4 linked regions of the Saccharomyces cerevisiae S288C genome follow. The protein of the gene in region 1 purifies or fractionates together with the protein of each later gene. This does not show direct contact. Each region holds a gene or a part of one and is shown in the gene's direction. Other genes may lie near its edges.

Evidence for each region.
Region 2: the proteins of PAB1 (region 1) and STO1 purify together in Saccharomyces cerevisiae (affinity purification with mass spectrometry; 4 studies listed by BioGRID, with this or other methods). This does not show direct contact.
Region 3: the proteins of PAB1 (region 1) and CBF5 purify together in Saccharomyces cerevisiae (affinity purification with mass spectrometry; 3 studies listed by BioGRID). This does not show direct contact.
Region 4: the proteins of PAB1 (region 1) and NAB3 purify together in Saccharomyces cerevisiae (affinity purification with mass spectrometry; 2 studies listed by BioGRID). This does not show direct contact.

What each region holds. Positions count from the first base shown.
Region 1 is NC_001137.3:508,585-512,648, forward strand, and holds PAB1 (polyadenylate-binding protein), read left to right. Parts: upstream 1-1,788; coding exon 1,789-3,522; downstream 3,523-4,064. Other genes in the region: chromatin-remodeling ATPase CHD1, read left to right, coding at 1-1,214. UniProt on the Saccharomyces cerevisiae protein: Binds the poly(A) tail of mRNA. Appears to be an important mediator of the multiple roles of the poly(A) tail in mRNA biogenesis, stability and translation.
Region 2 is NC_001145.3:515,671-520,959, forward strand, and holds STO1 (Sto1p), read left to right. Parts: upstream 1-1,868; coding exon 1,869-1,893; intron 1,894-2,215; coding exon 2,216-4,776; downstream 4,777-5,289. Other genes in the region: EPO1 (Epo1p), read left to right, coding at 1-1,617; DLT1 (Dlt1p), read right to left, coding at 5,091-5,289. UniProt on the Saccharomyces cerevisiae protein: Component of the CBC complex, which binds co-transcriptionally to the 5'-cap of pre-mRNAs and is involved in maturation, export and degradation of nuclear mRNAs.
Region 3 is NC_001144.5:504,534-508,112, forward strand, and holds CBF5 (pseudouridine synthase CBF5), read left to right. Parts: upstream 1-1,600; coding exon 1,601-3,052; downstream 3,053-3,579. Other genes in the region: isocitrate dehydrogenase (NADP(+)) IDP2, read left to right, coding at 58-1,296; RFX1 (Rfx1p), read right to left, coding at 3,264-3,579. UniProt on the Saccharomyces cerevisiae protein: Catalytic subunit of H/ACA small nucleolar ribonucleoprotein (H/ACA snoRNP) complex, which catalyzes pseudouridylation of rRNA. This involves the isomerization of uridine such that the ribose is subsequently attached to C5, instead of the normal N1.
Region 4 is NC_001148.4:184,817-189,529, reverse strand, and holds NAB3 (Nab3p), read left to right. Parts: upstream 1-1,804; coding exon 1,805-4,213; downstream 4,214-4,713. Other genes in the region: GUP2 (putative O-acyltransferase), read right to left, coding at 1-376; COA2 (Coa2p), read left to right, coding at 1,017-1,223. UniProt on the Saccharomyces cerevisiae protein: May be required for packaging pre-mRNAs into ribonucleoprotein structures amenable to efficient nuclear RNA processing. Binds to poly(A)+ RNA. Appears to act in the maintenance of CLN3 mRNA levels.

The sequences.
Region 1 (4,064 bases):
ACGAGGAAGAGAAAAATAGAAAAGAAATCTTGGAGAAACTTGAGAAGCATGCTACCGCCTATAGAGCAAAGCTAAAAAGCGGTGAAATAAAAGCAGAGAACCAACCAAAGGATAATCCGTTGACTAGATTATCTTTAAAAAAAAGAGAAAAGAAAGCCGTCCTTTTCAACTTTAAAGGTGTTAAATCTTTAAACGCCGAATCTTTACTAAGTAGAGTGGAGGATTTAAAGTACTTGAAGAACTTGATAAATTCAAACTACAAAGATGATCCATTAAAGTTTAGCCTAGGCAACAACACACCTAAGCCTGTACAGAATTGGTCATCTAATTGGACGAAAGAGGAAGATGAGAAGCTATTGATTGGTGTTTTCAAATATGGATATGGTTCCTGGACACAAATAAGAGACGATCCATTTCTAGGCATTACTGATAAAATATTCTTGAATGAAGTTCACAATCCGGTAGCAAAAAAGTCGGCAAGCTCCTCTGATACAACACCAACACCCTCAAAGAAAGGAAAGGGAATAACGGGTTCTTCAAAAAAAGTACCTGGTGCCATTCACTTGGGCAGAAGAGTTGATTATCTATTATCCTTCTTAAGAGGAGGCCTAAATACAAAGAGTCCCAGTGCTGACATAGGCTCGAAAAAACTCCCTACTGGTCCTTCCAAAAAGAGACAAAGAAAACCTGCTAATCACAGCAAATCCATGACTCCAGAAATTACAAGTTCTGAGCCTGCAAATGGCCCGCCAAGCAAACGTATGAAAGCCCTCCCAAAAGGTCCTGCCGCCTTAATAAATAACACGAGATTGTCTCCAAACAGCCCCACGCCCCCATTAAAGTCCAAGGTTTCCAGAGATAATGGTACAAGGCAATCAAGCAACCCCAGTAGCGGCAGCGCTCACGAAAAAGAATATGACAGCATGGATGAAGAAGACTGTCGACACACAATGAGTGCAATACGTACTTCTTTGAAGCGACTTAGAAGAGGCGGCAAAAGTCTTGATCGTAAGGAATGGGCCAAAATTTTGAAGACCGAATTAACTACGATTGGTAATCATATCGAATCGCAAAAGGGCTCATCGAGAAAGGCAAGCCCAGAAAAATATCGCAAGCACCTTTGGTCTTACAGTGCCAACTTTTGGCCTGCCGACGTTAAGAGTACAAAGCTGATGGCAATGTACGACAAGATAACAGAGTCTCAAAAGAAGTGAAACAATTTTTCTTCACCACATTTTCCATTGTTCCTTCCCCCCATAACTATAAACGTATTTATGTATATATATTTGCGTGTAAGTGTGTGTACTATAGGGCACCGTAAAGTAATAATGCTTAATTAGTTACTACTATGACCATATAAGAGGTCATACTGTATGAAGCCACAAAGCAGATAGATCAATCATGTTTAACGAAAACTGTTAATCGAAGATTATTTCTTTTTTTTTTTCTCTTTCCTTTTTACAAAGAAAATTTTTTTTGCGCTTTTTGCCATCACCATCGCAAGTTCTGGGACAATTGTTCTCTTTCGCTCCAGTTCCAAGGAAAGAGGTTTCTGTTTTACTTAATAGAAAGTGTCATCTTGTATTTTATATCTCTTCTTTCTTGTGTAAAATTCTTTAGTTTTGATTTTGTATTTTTAGGACAGTGAGCTACGAAGTAACATTTTTACTTAATAACCGTTTGAAGCATAGAGCAGGCCCTGGTACCACCACCTAATATCTGGCTTTTTATTCAATAAAAACTCAAAAAAAAAAATCCAAAAAAAACTAAAAAACCAATAAAAATAAAATGGCTGATATTACTGATAAGACAGCTGAACAATTGGAAAACTTGAATATTCAAGATGACCAAAAGCAAGCCGCCACTGGTTCAGAAAGCCAATCTGTTGAAAACTCTTCTGCATCATTATATGTTGGTGACTTAGAACCTTCTGTTTCCGAAGCCCACTTATATGATATCTTCTCTCCAATCGGTTCAGTCTCCTCCATTCGTGTCTGTCGTGATGCCATCACTAAGACCTCTTTGGGCTATGCTTATGTTAACTTTAACGACCATGAAGCCGGCAGAAAAGCAATTGAGCAATTGAACTACACTCCAATCAAGGGTAGATTATGCCGTATTATGTGGTCTCAACGTGACCCATCATTGAGAAAGAAGGGTTCTGGTAACATCTTTATCAAGAACTTGCACCCTGATATTGACAACAAGGCTTTGTATGACACTTTCTCTGTGTTTGGTGACATCTTGTCCAGCAAGATTGCCACCGACGAAAACGGAAAATCCAAGGGTTTTGGGTTTGTTCACTTCGAAGAAGAAGGTGCTGCCAAGGAAGCTATTGATGCTTTGAATGGTATGCTGTTGAACGGTCAAGAAATTTATGTTGCTCCTCACTTGTCCAGAAAGGAACGTGACTCTCAATTGGAAGAGACTAAGGCACATTACACTAACCTTTATGTGAAAAACATCAACTCCGAAACTACTGACGAACAATTCCAAGAATTGTTTGCCAAATTTGGTCCAATTGTTTCTGCCTCTTTGGAAAAGGATGCTGATGGAAAATTGAAGGGTTTCGGGTTTGTTAACTACGAAAAGCATGAAGACGCTGTGAAAGCTGTTGAAGCTTTGAATGACTCTGAACTAAATGGAGAAAAGTTATACGTTGGTCGTGCCCAAAAGAAGAATGAACGTATGCATGTCTTGAAGAAGCAATACGAAGCTTACAGATTGGAAAAAATGGCCAAGTACCAAGGTGTTAATTTGTTTGTTAAGAACTTAGATGACAGCGTTGATGACGAAAAGTTGGAAGAAGAATTTGCTCCATATGGTACTATCACTTCTGCAAAGGTTATGAGAACCGAAAACGGTAAGTCTAAGGGTTTTGGTTTTGTTTGTTTCTCAACTCCAGAGGAAGCTACTAAGGCCATTACAGAAAAGAACCAACAAATTGTTGCTGGTAAGCCATTATACGTTGCCATTGCTCAAAGAAAAGACGTAAGACGTTCTCAATTGGCTCAACAAATCCAAGCCAGAAATCAAATGAGATACCAGCAAGCTACTGCTGCCGCTGCCGCCGCCGCTGCCGGTATGCCAGGTCAATTCATGCCTCCAATGTTCTATGGTGTTATGCCACCAAGAGGTGTTCCATTCAACGGTCCAAACCCACAACAAATGAACCCAATGGGCGGTATGCCAAAGAACGGCATGCCACCTCAATTTAGAAATGGTCCGGTTTACGGCGTCCCCCCACAAGGTGGTTTCCCAAGAAATGCCAACGATAACAACCAATTTTATCAACAAAAGCAAAGACAAGCTTTGGGTGAACAATTATACAAGAAGGTTTCTGCTAAGACTTCAAATGAAGAAGCAGCTGGTAAAATTACTGGTATGATTTTGGATTTGCCACCTCAAGAGGTCTTCCCATTGTTGGAAAGTGATGAATTGTTCGAACAACACTACAAAGAAGCTTCTGCTGCCTATGAGTCTTTCAAAAAGGAGCAAGAACAACAAACTGAGCAAGCTTAATGCTCTATGTAATCACCTACTTCCCTACTCAACAAACTTATCATCTTTTTTTTCTCCCTTCCCTTTTTTTTTTGTCTTAAATACTAGTTATTATCCTTTGTAACCTAAATACTCGCTCTTATTGACAAAATGCAAACGTTTTTTGTTTTTAACTGTCAAGAGAAGTATCATTTTACTATTATTAGACTTCATTACTGAGTTTATTAGTTGCGTTTTTTTGAGGTCTCATTATTAACGGCAGAATGTTAGTTTTCGCGGAAAATAAACAAAATAGCACGGAAAAAAGACCAACAGGTTCCAGGAAAATACTAATTTACAAAAAATTGACAAATCAAGTGAGGGTACCTTGCTATTCATCACCGCATTCAACTAACTGGAGGTACAAAGCTGATAAAATTTCACAGAGCAAAGTCTCACTTAGCTTTTACTTTATGAAATTTGACCTTTAATAACCGAAGGTCATCGTAATACGCAACTCAGACAGTTTTAAGTGGATTTTTAGGGTCGCAATTAAAAACACTCAAAAATTAACCGGAGGTTGA
Region 2 (5,289 bases), on another chromosome or scaffold:
TGGTCACCAAATGACAACGATCGTAAAGCTGTGTCCATGAAACAGCCAATCAGTCAATCGTCAATTTCCTCAAAGAATAATTCAGCTTATTCAATACCGAACGTACAAAACAACTCCCTGACTACATTCTCTCCGTCATCTCCTACTGATGCTACAGCAATGCCTAACTCTACAAAACAAGGATCTTCACCACTAAAAAAACAAGTGAACATTGATCAACCTATTGAAAACAAGGGAAAACTGAATGTTTTGCAATTATCCACTCCTCAACAAAACGAGTTAAAGGAAAAAGAAAGGAAGCTAGCTGAAATGGAAAAATCTTTACGTGAGAGAGAAGCACTAGTAGAAGAAAAAGAAAAGGAAAGAGCTGAGAAAAATACTGAAGCAAATGAAGAGGAGGAAATTTCACATGAATCAGACGATTTAAATTTAAGACCTGCGAGTGCGCTAGAGACTGGTTTAAAAGATCTTAAATTGGAAAGTGAAAGTGCAGTCGCCAATAGAGCGTCCTTGTCGACTTTCTCATCCACATTTAGTGATTCTCCCTCCAAGCAAAGAATCATCAATACCAGAACAGGTATGTATAAGCTAGAAAACTCTACTGATATCAATGAATACGTGACCGCACAAGAATTCCCCTCTCCCGGAAAGTATAACTCAAATTCGGATAATGGCGAAATGAATACAACGAACGAGGTCGATTTTGATTTCAATACTAGTAAAAGGGCTTCTTTGTTACAATCCATACCGGAAAGAGATCCCAAAAGAAATGTCTCAGATGCTACCATTAAGCGACGTGAATCCGATGGCAATGGCAGGAGACTAAGTAATGTCAACATATCCATGAACCAGGAAAACATCAACAATGATACTTTTCTATATAAAAAAAATAATCGCGATGGTCATTTATCAGCAGTTTCTCATATGTCCAGCTCTTCCCGTAGATCGTTCATCTCCAATACGCTGCCGTTGAATATTGATTCCGCCTCAGAATCTGATAATTTTGTACCGCATATGGATGGTTCACCCTCCAAAACAAAATCAGCCCCAGTTAGCTACGATAAGGATGGCATGAATGCTTCAGAAGAAGACTTCAGTTTTGATAATACTTTAGCCAAACCGTATGAACCGTTATATGCTAGGAGAGGAGACATAACTTCCGCCGGATCAACTAGTGGAGAAGATAGCTCTCAGCCAAAGATGATAACAATATCTGGTGAGCAATTGAATTTGATAACAGAAAACAAAGAATTAATGAATGAGTTGACACTGGTGTCTACAGAATTAGCAGAATCGATAAAAAGGGAAACTGAATTAGAAGAAAGAATACGGCTGTATGAAACCAATAATTCAGCACCATCTTTTGACGATTCTTCGAGTGTGTCTTTTTCTGACTTTGAAAAGGAACTGAGAAAAAAATCCAGTAAAATTGTGCAATTGATCCAGCAATTAAATGACGAGAGATTAAAGAGATTCATTGCGGAGGAGCAGTTATTACTCCAAGAAAATGGCACCAAACCAAGTTCTATGGAACTAGTAGGAAGAATTGAAAACTTGAATAAACTTATTGATGAGAGAGATTCAGAAATTGAAATGCTTAAAGGACGTTTACAGTAGATGAATGATGTATTTTATTGTATATATCGCTTAGTGCACCAAAATCATACTACGTAAGTATAAAATCACTTTACACGTAGAAGATGCTTTTTCAGATTGTTCTTGAAAAAGTTGAAAAAAATATAATTCACACTCAGCAACAGGTGAAAGTGTATAATGGGTAAAAAAGGAAGGACAGAAGGTATATTGCTAATCAAAACGACTTTGGTATACGCGTTTGGGGCTACAATTGCATTTTAAATATATTTAAGATGTTTAATAGAAAAAGAAGAGGAGGTATGTTTTAAAACCAATGTTTTCCAGAAGTTTCGTTCTAGAGTGTGTATATCAAGACCAATTAGGATGGTATTTCCATTTTTTGTCAGTTAGTACGGTGTGACAGAAAAGTGTACTTTTGTGGCACAGAGAAGTGGAGAAACGGTACACGTAGAATACATAACGGCAAGTAACCTCTCTTATTTTACTCTCCATCTTTACTTTGTTTTACATTCCTAGGATTATTAGGTTAGCTTGGTTTTACAAAAACTCAATTATTCAGTTTCATTCAAATTACTAACATACCCAACTTTGACTACCTTGCATATGATTTTACCGTTAGACTTCGATGAAGATGAAAATTACCGTGATTTTAGGCCTCGCATGCCTAAAAGACAGAGAATCCCACCTGTTGTACAACTGTGTAAAGAAATGATGCCCGATATTCGCACTATTGGTGAATCTGTTAAAGCTTTTGAAGATGATATCAAATTCTTGAGTGAAGCTATAATGAATGAGTATGGCCATGAGGACTACTTTAATAATGCTTTACTGAGCACTTTAAACGCTGTTGTTGTGGAGCAACCACAGAAGCAAGCTGCTATCGCTCTCTTAACCATGGTTGTTAATTCGAAAAATAATGTTGCCGGAAAGAGTATTATCAATTACTTCTTCGAAGAATTACAAAAATGGTGCAAGCAAACATATAATGATGAATTCAAGAGTACGTCAAATGAAACTGGGCCATGGAACAAGATCAAGTTAATCCTGAGATTTTTATCCATTCTATCGCCCATGTTTTTAGTTGATGAACTAATCAATATCTACAAGAGCTTATTTGAATTGAGTATCGAATTAAACAATCTGGATCCAGGTAACAGAGTTCCTTTATCTGAAGCAATTTACACCAATACATTATTAAATATCCCGTATTTGTTCTTTTTTAATAGGAATAATGACGGTTTGAGGACAAAAGTGGAGGAGTTACTTGCATACGTTGAACAAAACTATCTAGTTAAAACAACGGATATAAACCTATTAAGAGAATACAATGGTGAACCTCCATATGAAATGGTAGAACTTGTCCGAGTCGTATTACCAAACGTCAAGAAGGCGCTAATCAATAACTTGGAACAGCTGAATGAATTATTTCCTGATTGGAATCATTTATTAACTCCCCAAACCGGTGATGAAGGGTTCAATGACGCTTTAACCCTTCCATCAGTAGATGATCTAAAGTCTTTCGTGCGCTTGAATAAAAACTTTGGTTCAGTTGATAGCATGTGGAAGACACCAAGGTATGCTTTTCATGTTTACTTGCCAAACTCCGCTGGTAATTTCGAAACAGTTGTACCAATCAGCACTTATGCTGGTCAATTATTCAACGATATCATTATTGATCTGGTGGAAAGTTTAGAATTCAATAGAAAGGAAGTAGCTAGACAAGTGATAACTTTGGATCTTTTTTTCAAAGCAGGTATATTTACAGAACCTGGTGAATCTATTGCCCAATTAATTGCCACTTATGAAGAGAACCCATTGGCTCCTACATTTAAGATAGAAGATTTGGCTATTGAAACCATTTTGGGACTTATTTTTAAATTACCTAGTGTTTCCCAGCCTTTTGCATACTTTTACACTTTATTGGTGGATATTTGTCAAAATTCTCCAAAAGCAATTGCTCCTGTCTTTGGTAGAGCCTTTAGGTTTTTTTATAGTCATTTGGATTCATTAGATTTTGAACTAAAATTAAGATATTTGGACTGGTTTTCAATTCAAATGAGCAACTTTAATTTTTCTTGGAAGTGGAATGAATGGGAAGACGATTCGATCAAATTTGGCAAGTATTTTTATAATCCAAAGGTAAATTTTGCTAAAAATTTGATTCAAAAAGAACTACGATTGACCTCTAACTTTTCAGAAGTAGAGGACAGCCTACCACAAGAATTCACGAAATATTTGGATACTTCTTACATTCCAAGAGATCAACTGATTAACTACTATCAATCATTATTCACCGGTTATACGGTAGAAGAAGATTCCGTTAGAAAAAATGATCTATATTTTAGACAAGAAGGTGTACCTATGGAAAACACAGTCCGTAAAATTTTAGATTATACCCACAAAGCAAACAATTCTAGGGAAGTTACTGAATTAGAAAGTATTCTAGGTGAGTTAAAGAATGAGTATGGTTCCATAATTTCCGACTTTAACAGATTTGTTATCATATTGTTAGTCCAGGCCGTTACAGACTCTGGTAGTAGATCTTTATCACATGCTAATAAATATATTAATGATTTAAAAGAAGATCTCAAAACCATATTTGCGAAGATTGAATTGGATATCGAGACAAAAGAGTATATCATAATTGAAGCCGTCCTAACATTTTGGAACGCCAACCCTCAGACAGGTTTCTTAGTAGCAGATGCATTCAAATATGCAGGTTTACTTACTTCCAGAACCATTTTTACATTTATATTTAACGAAACTGGTTTGAAGAATAATGGTTTGATTGAAGCTACAGCAATTGAAGCGGTCTTTAGAAATTTATCTCAACAAATCTCGGAAGAGAACGAAAGTGGAAATAATTTTGAGTTCGTTTTCGAAAGATTATGTACCATCGCCAACAGTACTATAGACTTACTAGATGTCAATGCTGATGAAGATATTGAGATACCTAAAGTCAACGGGGAAATGGACATCGACGATATTGAAGATGATAAACTGGATTTGAAATGGAAATATTTTACAGTGATTGGGTTTATTAAAAGTATATTAAGAAGGTATTCCCACGAATATCGTGAGTTAGCAGACAAATTCATTGCCAACATTGATAACGCTATTCCACACGAATCCACTAGGAGAACAATTTCGAATTGGATTCAAGAAACAAAGGAAGTTTAAAAAGATTCGGAGGATGGACTACATTCGTTATCACTCCGCTTTTTAATTTTTAATCAATGTTACATACCTAGCGTAATTTTCCTATATATAAAATATCAGCTTTATATAAATATATTATTGAAACTGTACCTATAATAATAAATTTAAAATTAAGTAAATACAAATGCTTCAAAATTTGTTAGTATTGTTTTCTTCAATCATCTTTACTTAATTGTCATCGCAATAATTAAATTAATATTTTATTGTTGTTGCGTATATAATACAACCTGAATGGTATGCTACACTATGTTACACTATGCTATTGATCAGAGTTTCTAATGACGAATTACACTTCTATAACTATCCGCTTTGGAAAGTTTGAGACGAAGGGCGTTACAATCAGAATCCGTATCCAAAGGATGTTCTTCAGAATTAGTCAGATCTACACCTGATGAAACATGCCTTGCGACAGTACTTATGCTACTTTCTCTAACCAAATGTGTAGGCGGTTCGGGAAAGTAATGCATATCATCC
Region 3 (3,579 bases), on another chromosome or scaffold:
GCTCAGGCACGAGAATAGGAGGTAAGAAGGTAACGTACGTATATATATAAAATCGTAATGACAAAGATTAAGGTAGCTAACCCCATTGTGGAAATGGACGGCGATGAGCAAACAAGAATAATCTGGCATTTAATCAGGGACAAGTTAGTCTTGCCCTATCTTGACGTTGATTTGAAGTACTACGATCTTTCCGTGGAGTATCGTGACCAGACTAATGATCAAGTAACTGTGGATTCTGCCACCGCGACTTTAAAGTATGGAGTAGCTGTCAAATGCGCGACTATTACACCCGATGAGGCAAGGGTCGAGGAATTTCATTTGAAAAAGATGTGGAAATCTCCAAATGGTACTATTAGAAACATTTTGGGTGGTACAGTGTTCAGAGAACCTATTATTATCCCTAGAATTCCAAGGCTAGTTCCTCAATGGGAGAAGCCCATCATCATTGGGAGACACGCATTCGGCGATCAGTACAAAGCTACCGATGTAATAGTCCCTGAAGAAGGCGAGTTGAGGCTTGTTTATAAATCCAAGAGCGGAACTCATGATGTAGATCTGAAGGTATTTGACTACCCAGAACATGGTGGGGTTGCCATGATGATGTACAACACTACAGATTCGATCGAAGGGTTTGCGAAGGCCTCCTTTGAATTGGCCATTGAAAGGAAGTTACCATTATATTCCACTACTAAGAATACTATTTTGAAGAAGTATGATGGTAAATTCAAAGATGTTTTCGAAGCCATGTATGCTAGAAGTTATAAAGAGAAGTTTGAATCCCTTGGCATCTGGTACGAGCACCGTTTAATTGATGATATGGTGGCCCAAATGTTGAAATCTAAAGGTGGATACATAATTGCCATGAAAAATTACGACGGTGACGTAGAATCAGATATTGTTGCACAAGGATTTGGCTCCTTGGGGTTAATGACATCTGTGTTGATTACCCCGGACGGTAAAACCTTTGAAAGCGAAGCCGCCCACGGTACAGTAACAAGACATTTTAGACAGCATCAGCAAGGAAAGGAGACGTCAACAAATTCCATTGCATCAATTTTCGCGTGGACTAGAGGTATTATTCAAAGGGGTAAACTTGATAATACTCCAGATGTAGTTAAGTTCGGCCAAATATTGGAAAGCGCTACGGTAAATACAGTGCAAGAAGATGGAATCATGACTAAAGATTTGGCGCTCATTCTCGGTAAGTCTGAAAGATCCGCTTATGTCACTACCGAGGAGTTCATTGACGCGGTGGAATCTAGATTGAAAAAAGAGTTCGAGGCAGCTGCATTGTAAACTTACTCAATGACAGATTGATTTATTTATATTATATATTCCCTTTTTATCGAAAAACTTTTAGTATTTTCTACTCGTAACATATGATCTTCTGTTCTCACTGAAAATTTTTCTTTCTTCTTTTCCCTCTTCGCAAAAAGAAAATGCTGAAAAAATTTGAAAAATTTTCAAATGATGAGATGTTTAGCTTAGGAAAAATATAATGTAAAGATAGTTTTCAGAACATTTTTTATTGGTTTTTTTTTTTAAAGATTCATTATCATCTGGAGTTCGTTACAACCTACACAGAGGACCGATATACACAATGTCAAAGGAGGATTTCGTTATTAAGCCTGAAGCTGCAGGTGCTTCCACTGACACTAGTGAATGGCCATTACTTTTGAAGAATTTTGATAAGTTATTAGTCAGAAGTGGTCATTATACCCCTATCCCAGCTGGTAGTTCACCACTAAAGAGAGACCTGAAATCATATATCAGCTCTGGTGTCATTAATCTAGATAAACCTTCCAACCCATCATCGCACGAAGTTGTAGCTTGGATCAAAAGAATCTTACGTTGTGAGAAGACTGGTCACTCTGGTACATTGGATCCAAAAGTTACAGGTTGTTTGATTGTTTGTATTGACAGAGCTACCAGGTTGGTTAAGTCTCAACAAGGTGCTGGTAAGGAGTATGTGTGTATTGTCAGATTGCATGATGCTTTGAAGGATGAAAAGGATTTGGGCCGCTCACTAGAAAACTTGACCGGTGCGCTTTTCCAAAGACCTCCTTTAATCTCTGCTGTTAAGAGACAATTACGTGTTCGTACTATCTATGAGTCAAACTTGATTGAGTTCGATAACAAGAGAAACTTAGGTGTTTTCTGGGCTTCCTGTGAAGCTGGTACTTATATGCGTACTTTGTGTGTTCATTTAGGTATGCTATTAGGTGTTGGTGGTCACATGCAAGAATTGCGTCGTGTTAGATCCGGTGCTCTGTCTGAAAATGACAACATGGTCACTTTACATGATGTTATGGATGCCCAATGGGTTTACGACAATACAAGAGATGAATCTTACTTGAGATCCATTATTCAACCTTTAGAAACTCTATTGGTTGGTTACAAGAGAATTGTAGTGAAGGATTCTGCTGTCAATGCAGTATGTTATGGTGCAAAGTTGATGATCCCTGGTTTATTGCGTTACGAAGAAGGTATTGAGTTATATGACGAAATTGTCTTGATAACTACCAAGGGTGAAGCCATTGCCGTTGCCATCGCACAAATGTCAACCGTTGACTTAGCTTCCTGTGATCATGGTGTTGTTGCTAGTGTGAAGAGATGTATCATGGAAAGAGATTTATACCCAAGAAGATGGGGTTTGGGTCCAGTCGCACAAAAGAAGAAGCAAATGAAGGCAGACGGCAAATTGGATAAATACGGCCGTGTTAACGAAAACACCCCAGAACAATGGAAAAAAGAATATGTTCCATTAGACAATGCTGAACAGTCAACTTCTAGCTCTCAGGAAACTAAGGAAACTGAAGAAGAGCCTAAGAAAGCTAAAGAAGATTCTTTAATCAAAGAAGTCGAAACTGAGAAGGAAGAAGTGAAAGAGGATGACAGCAAAAAGGAAAAGAAAGAGAAGAAGGACAAGAAGGAAAAGAAGGAAAAGAAAGAAAAGAAGGACAAGAAGGAAAAGAAAGAGAAAAAGGAGAAGAAAAGAAAGTCTGAAGACGGTGATTCTGAGGAAAAGAAATCTAAGAAATCTAAGAAATGATTCTCATCACTCCATCTCATCCTATATATTTAACAGCTTTCTTTTTTTCAAAAAACTTTTTCTATTATTAGATTAGATTTTTTTTAGTGTGTATATTAATAACGTAAAATTTCTTTATCAACGACTTGTAGTATTCTTTTACTTTTATTTTTTTTACATATGCAACGTTATATTCTTTTTTAAATATCCCCATATACTAATGATAGAACTTTTAAACTTTTAGGCCATTGACGAATTTCATGACTTCAAAACAGTAGTTCAGCAATTGGCCCATGACATTATTTAGAAACAACCATGATAGCAAATTCTCATTTGATTTTAAGCTAATATCGCCGATTATTGCATTCCTGAATCTTGTGCTGCAATCAATTAATTTCAAGCACGAAAATTTGCTTTGTAGGGAAATAAAGGAACAAAAATCTTTAATCATTTCATTTAAGGACTTGCATTCGATAGACACAGAGGGATCATTGCTAACGCTCATAGAGGAATTTAAGAACTTTGTTACGAAAACTTGACAGAACCCT
Region 4 (4,713 bases), on another chromosome or scaffold:
GAGGATCGCTGTTATCCACTTTGCGGCCCAGAATCCAACCATGGGCTAGCAGTCCGCTGAATTTATAGTAGTTTGGATTAGACTCGGAGCTCGTAGCCAATGCCGCCTTTATCATGAAAGGAACTACTACGGTGAACGCCAAATAATATAGTCTAAATTCCCATGTATTCCATAGCGGAGGAGATGGGCTATTAGAGCTGAGCACAGGGTTACGGGTAACAGTAACGGCACTAGAAGATGAACCATTCTCTTCTTTAGATGAATTGATAAATATCCTTTGTCGCCTTTTGAATTCAATGTCTGGCTTTATTCGTGAATCAAGTGCCTGCACGGAAAAGAAATGTACGATGCAACTCCAGATTCTTAACATCGACATCTGACTTGTAGCGATGACGTCAATTATTTTTGAGCCCTATAATAAGGTAGTTGAGAAGACAAATTTGAAGCACCCAAAAACCCTCAAAACAGTACCTACCTCAAAGCTAGCTTCTCTTTCTTCTTCTATTTGACTTCATTTTTTCCATATTCACCATTGGTACCTTCCATAAACAACTATAACGCAGTACAAATGAAAAAAGAAGAAAAAAAAAAGAAAAAAAAAGAGACCTAAACGCGCCAAGATTACAGGTAAACGAGTAGAACTTTGATCTATGTGCCTGAAAACCCCTCGGGCACAGGGTTCATAACGAAAAAAAAAAAATCGTAAGTAATGGTAACCATAGTAACCGATGCATGGGTTTTAAAAGTCACGTGCTTAAGTCCATTAAGACCGGAAACCTCTACACCAGTTCTCCTTCTGCAAGGGTTTTCTTTTTTTATTTTTTTTGATGGGATGGCTCTCTTTCCCCGTGTTTGTACTTTTGATATATATAGGATATTCATCAAAACAGCGTTTCGAACTCAGCGCTTGCACGATAACATAAGCACCTCGAGACACATTAGGAAAATTTAACATCCTATTTATTTATTGAATTTACAGGCACGGAAGGCCAATTAGTTTAATTCAGACACATATCATGAGAGCAGTCACTAGAAACAAAATAGTCAATAACCTATACTTTTCTACATTTCTCATTGCATTCGCATCAGTGGCCATCGGTTCTGTGCTGCCATGTCCAGCACATTCAGTGGATTCTGATTCACCAGCTGTACAGCAACACAAGCTTCAGCTTGCTCATGAGCAGGAGTTAAAGAGGAAGGATGCTTTAAGTAAAAAGATTTAAACAGGTACGGGCTATCTGGAACTTTTGATAAGTTGTATTCTATCTCTTTTATTTCCTCTTTTTATTTATTTTCGAGTGCCGTAATCTTCGCTACTTCAAGTTTCATAATCAATCGACTTTCTGTATGGGTAAGCATCTGGTGTGATGCAGTTTCATTATGACACCACAAATACAAAAGAGACTATTTAAATATGTATATAGATCACATTCCAAAAAAGAAAACCATTAATAATATCACTCTTTAATATTCCAAATTGAAACGAAAAAGCGCTATTCTTATTCGCTTCCTAACTACCGCCCTAGTTCGTGCTTGCATTTTTTTGTAGAACGATAAATTATGGTATCCCACGTGATTGAGTGTAACCCTGAATTGTTGAAGAGAAAATGAAGCGGAAGAAGCAAAGGACAAAAAACAATTCATTTGATTTTGCCACTTCTAAATGAAGGTCTAATAAAAGCTATCTTGAGCATCTTTATTAGATTCTGCACAGCAACAAGCGATTTTCTTTGGTCAAAATATAATAATTGACTTACGTTTTTCCCGGACTGTCCTTTCATAATATAATAACCATCTGCAAGCCATGTCAGATGAAAACCATAACAGTGATGTTCAAGATATTCCTTCACCTGAACTATCCGTCGATAGTAACTCTAACGAGAATGAATTGATGAATAACTCAAGCGCAGACGATGGAATCGAATTTGACGCCCCAGAGGAAGAAAGAGAAGCCGAAAGGGAGGAGGAAAATGAAGAACAACACGAACTGGAAGATGTGAACGATGAAGAGGAGGAAGATAAGGAGGAAAAAGGAGAGGAAAACGGGGAAGTAATAAACACAGAAGAAGAAGAAGAAGAAGAACATCAACAAAAAGGCGGAAATGATGATGACGATGATGATAATGAAGAGGAAGAAGAGGAAGAAGAGGATGATGACGATGATGATGATGACGACGATGATGATGAAGAAGAAGAAGAAGAAGAAGAAGAAGAAGGCAACGACAACAGTTCGGTAGGCTCAGATAGTGCCGCTGAAGACGGTGAGGATGAGGAAGACAAAAAGGATAAAACCAAAGATAAAGAGGTCGAACTTCGCCGTGAAACATTGGAAAAAGAACAAAAGGACGTAGATGAAGCTATAAAAAAAATAACTCGTGAAGAAAATGATAATACTCACTTTCCAACTAATATGGAAAATGTTAATTACGATCTTTTACAAAAGCAAGTCAAGTACATTATGGACAGTAACATGCTAAATTTGCCTCAGTTTCAACATTTACCTCAAGAAGAAAAGATGTCTGCGATTTTAGCAATGTTAAATTCAAATTCTGACACAGCTCTTTCCGTACCTCCTCATGATAGTACTATCTCAACAACAGCTAGCGCCTCAGCCACAAGCGGCGCAAGAAGCAATGATCAAAGAAAACCTCCATTGTCAGATGCCCAAAGACGTATGAGATTTCCTAGGGCGGATTTATCTAAGCCGATTACCGAAGAAGAACACGACCGTTATGCAGCCTATTTGCACGGTGAAAATAAAATCACCGAGATGCACAATATTCCTCCGAAGTCAAGATTATTCATTGGTAATTTGCCGCTAAAGAACGTTTCTAAGGAGGATTTATTTAGGATTTTCTCTCCATACGGTCATATCATGCAAATCAATATCAAAAATGCCTTTGGATTCATTCAGTTTGACAACCCTCAAAGCGTTAGAGATGCAATTGAATGCGAGTCTCAAGAAATGAACTTTGGCAAAAAGTTGATCCTGGAAGTTTCTAGCTCGAATGCTCGTCCTCAATTTGATCATGGTGATCACGGTACAAACAGTAGTTCTACTTTTATTTCTTCCGCAAAACGACCATTTCAAACTGAATCTGGTGACATGTACAATGACGACAATGGTGCTGGCTACAAGAAATCCAGAAGACACACCGTTTCTTGCAACATTTTCGTTAAAAGAACCGCAGATCGTACGTATGCCATTGAGGTTTTCAACAGGTTTAGGGACGGGACTGGTTTGGAAACTGATATGATTTTCTTGAAACCAAGAATGGAACTGGGAAAGCTTATCAATGATGCCGCATATAATGGGGTGTGGGGCGTTGTTTTAGTTAATAAAACACACAATGTAGATGTTCAAACTTTCTACAAAGGCTCACAAGGTGAAACGAAATTTGATGAATATATTAGCATATCCGCTGATGACGCAGTTGCCATTTTTAATAACATCAAAAACAACAGAAATAATTCTCGTCCTACTGATTACCGTGCTATGAGCCATCAGCAAAACATATATGGCGCTCCTCCTCTTCCTGTTCCAAACGGCCCAGCTGTCGGACCTCCTCCTCAAACAAACTATTACCAGGGTTACAGTATGCCTCCTCCACAACAACAACAGCAACAGCCATATGGTAATTATGGGATGCCACCACCATCCCATGACCAAGGATATGGTTCTCAACCTCCAATTCCAATGAATCAGAGCTACGGTCGCTACCAGACTTCTATTCCACCACCACCTCCACAACAACAAATTCCTCAAGGGTATGGTCGTTATCAGGCTGGTCCGCCTCCTCAACCACCTTCTCAAACTCCAATGGACCAGCAACAACTATTATCTGCCATTCAAAACCTTCCACCTAACGTTGTATCGAATTTGCTTTCAATGGCCCAACAACAGCAACAACAACCTCATGCTCAGCAGCAATTGGTTGGTTTAATACAATCAATGCAAGGCCAGGCTCCTCAACAACAGCAACAACAGTTGGGTGGATATTCCTCTATGAACTCATCCTCTCCCCCTCCTATGAGTACCAATTACAATGGTCAAAATATATCTGCAAAACCCTCTGCCCCACCAATGTCACACCAACCTCCGCCACCTCAACAACAACAACAACAACAACAACAGCAACAGCAACAGCAACAGCAACCTGCTGGCAATAATGTTCAAAGTCTATTAGATAGTTTAGCAAAACTACAAAAATAGACTCCCTTTTTTCAATCTTTTCCATTTCTTGTACATTATACTTGAATTCTTTTAATTGGACGAAAAATTTTTAAGGAAAGTAGATTGATATGGTTTGCATAAATTCGACATAGCGGTTTATGCTTTAATCGTTTTCCCTTCCCAAATTGGACTAGGACTTAATTCTTACTATTGCTGCATCTCTTTCAGAACGAAAAACTCTTTACCCTGTTATAAATTTCTTTTATTTCTTCCTTATCAAATGCTATTTGGTCTATTTATTTCACTTACACGCACCTCTTCATTTGTTTCCTCTGCCAAGAGAATGGCTTTTCATTTCTTTTTCTTCTCTTTAGTTAAATGTTCTTATATCAAAACTTTGTAAAATTGCTTTGTAAACAGATTATTAAGTACCGCTCTATTTACCCCATAACGAAAAGAAGTTCCGCGCTTAGGACACCTTTCCCTAGAGGTTCTTGTTTGATTTGTTTTAGTCATCTGCCTGTCGTTTATTTTAGTTT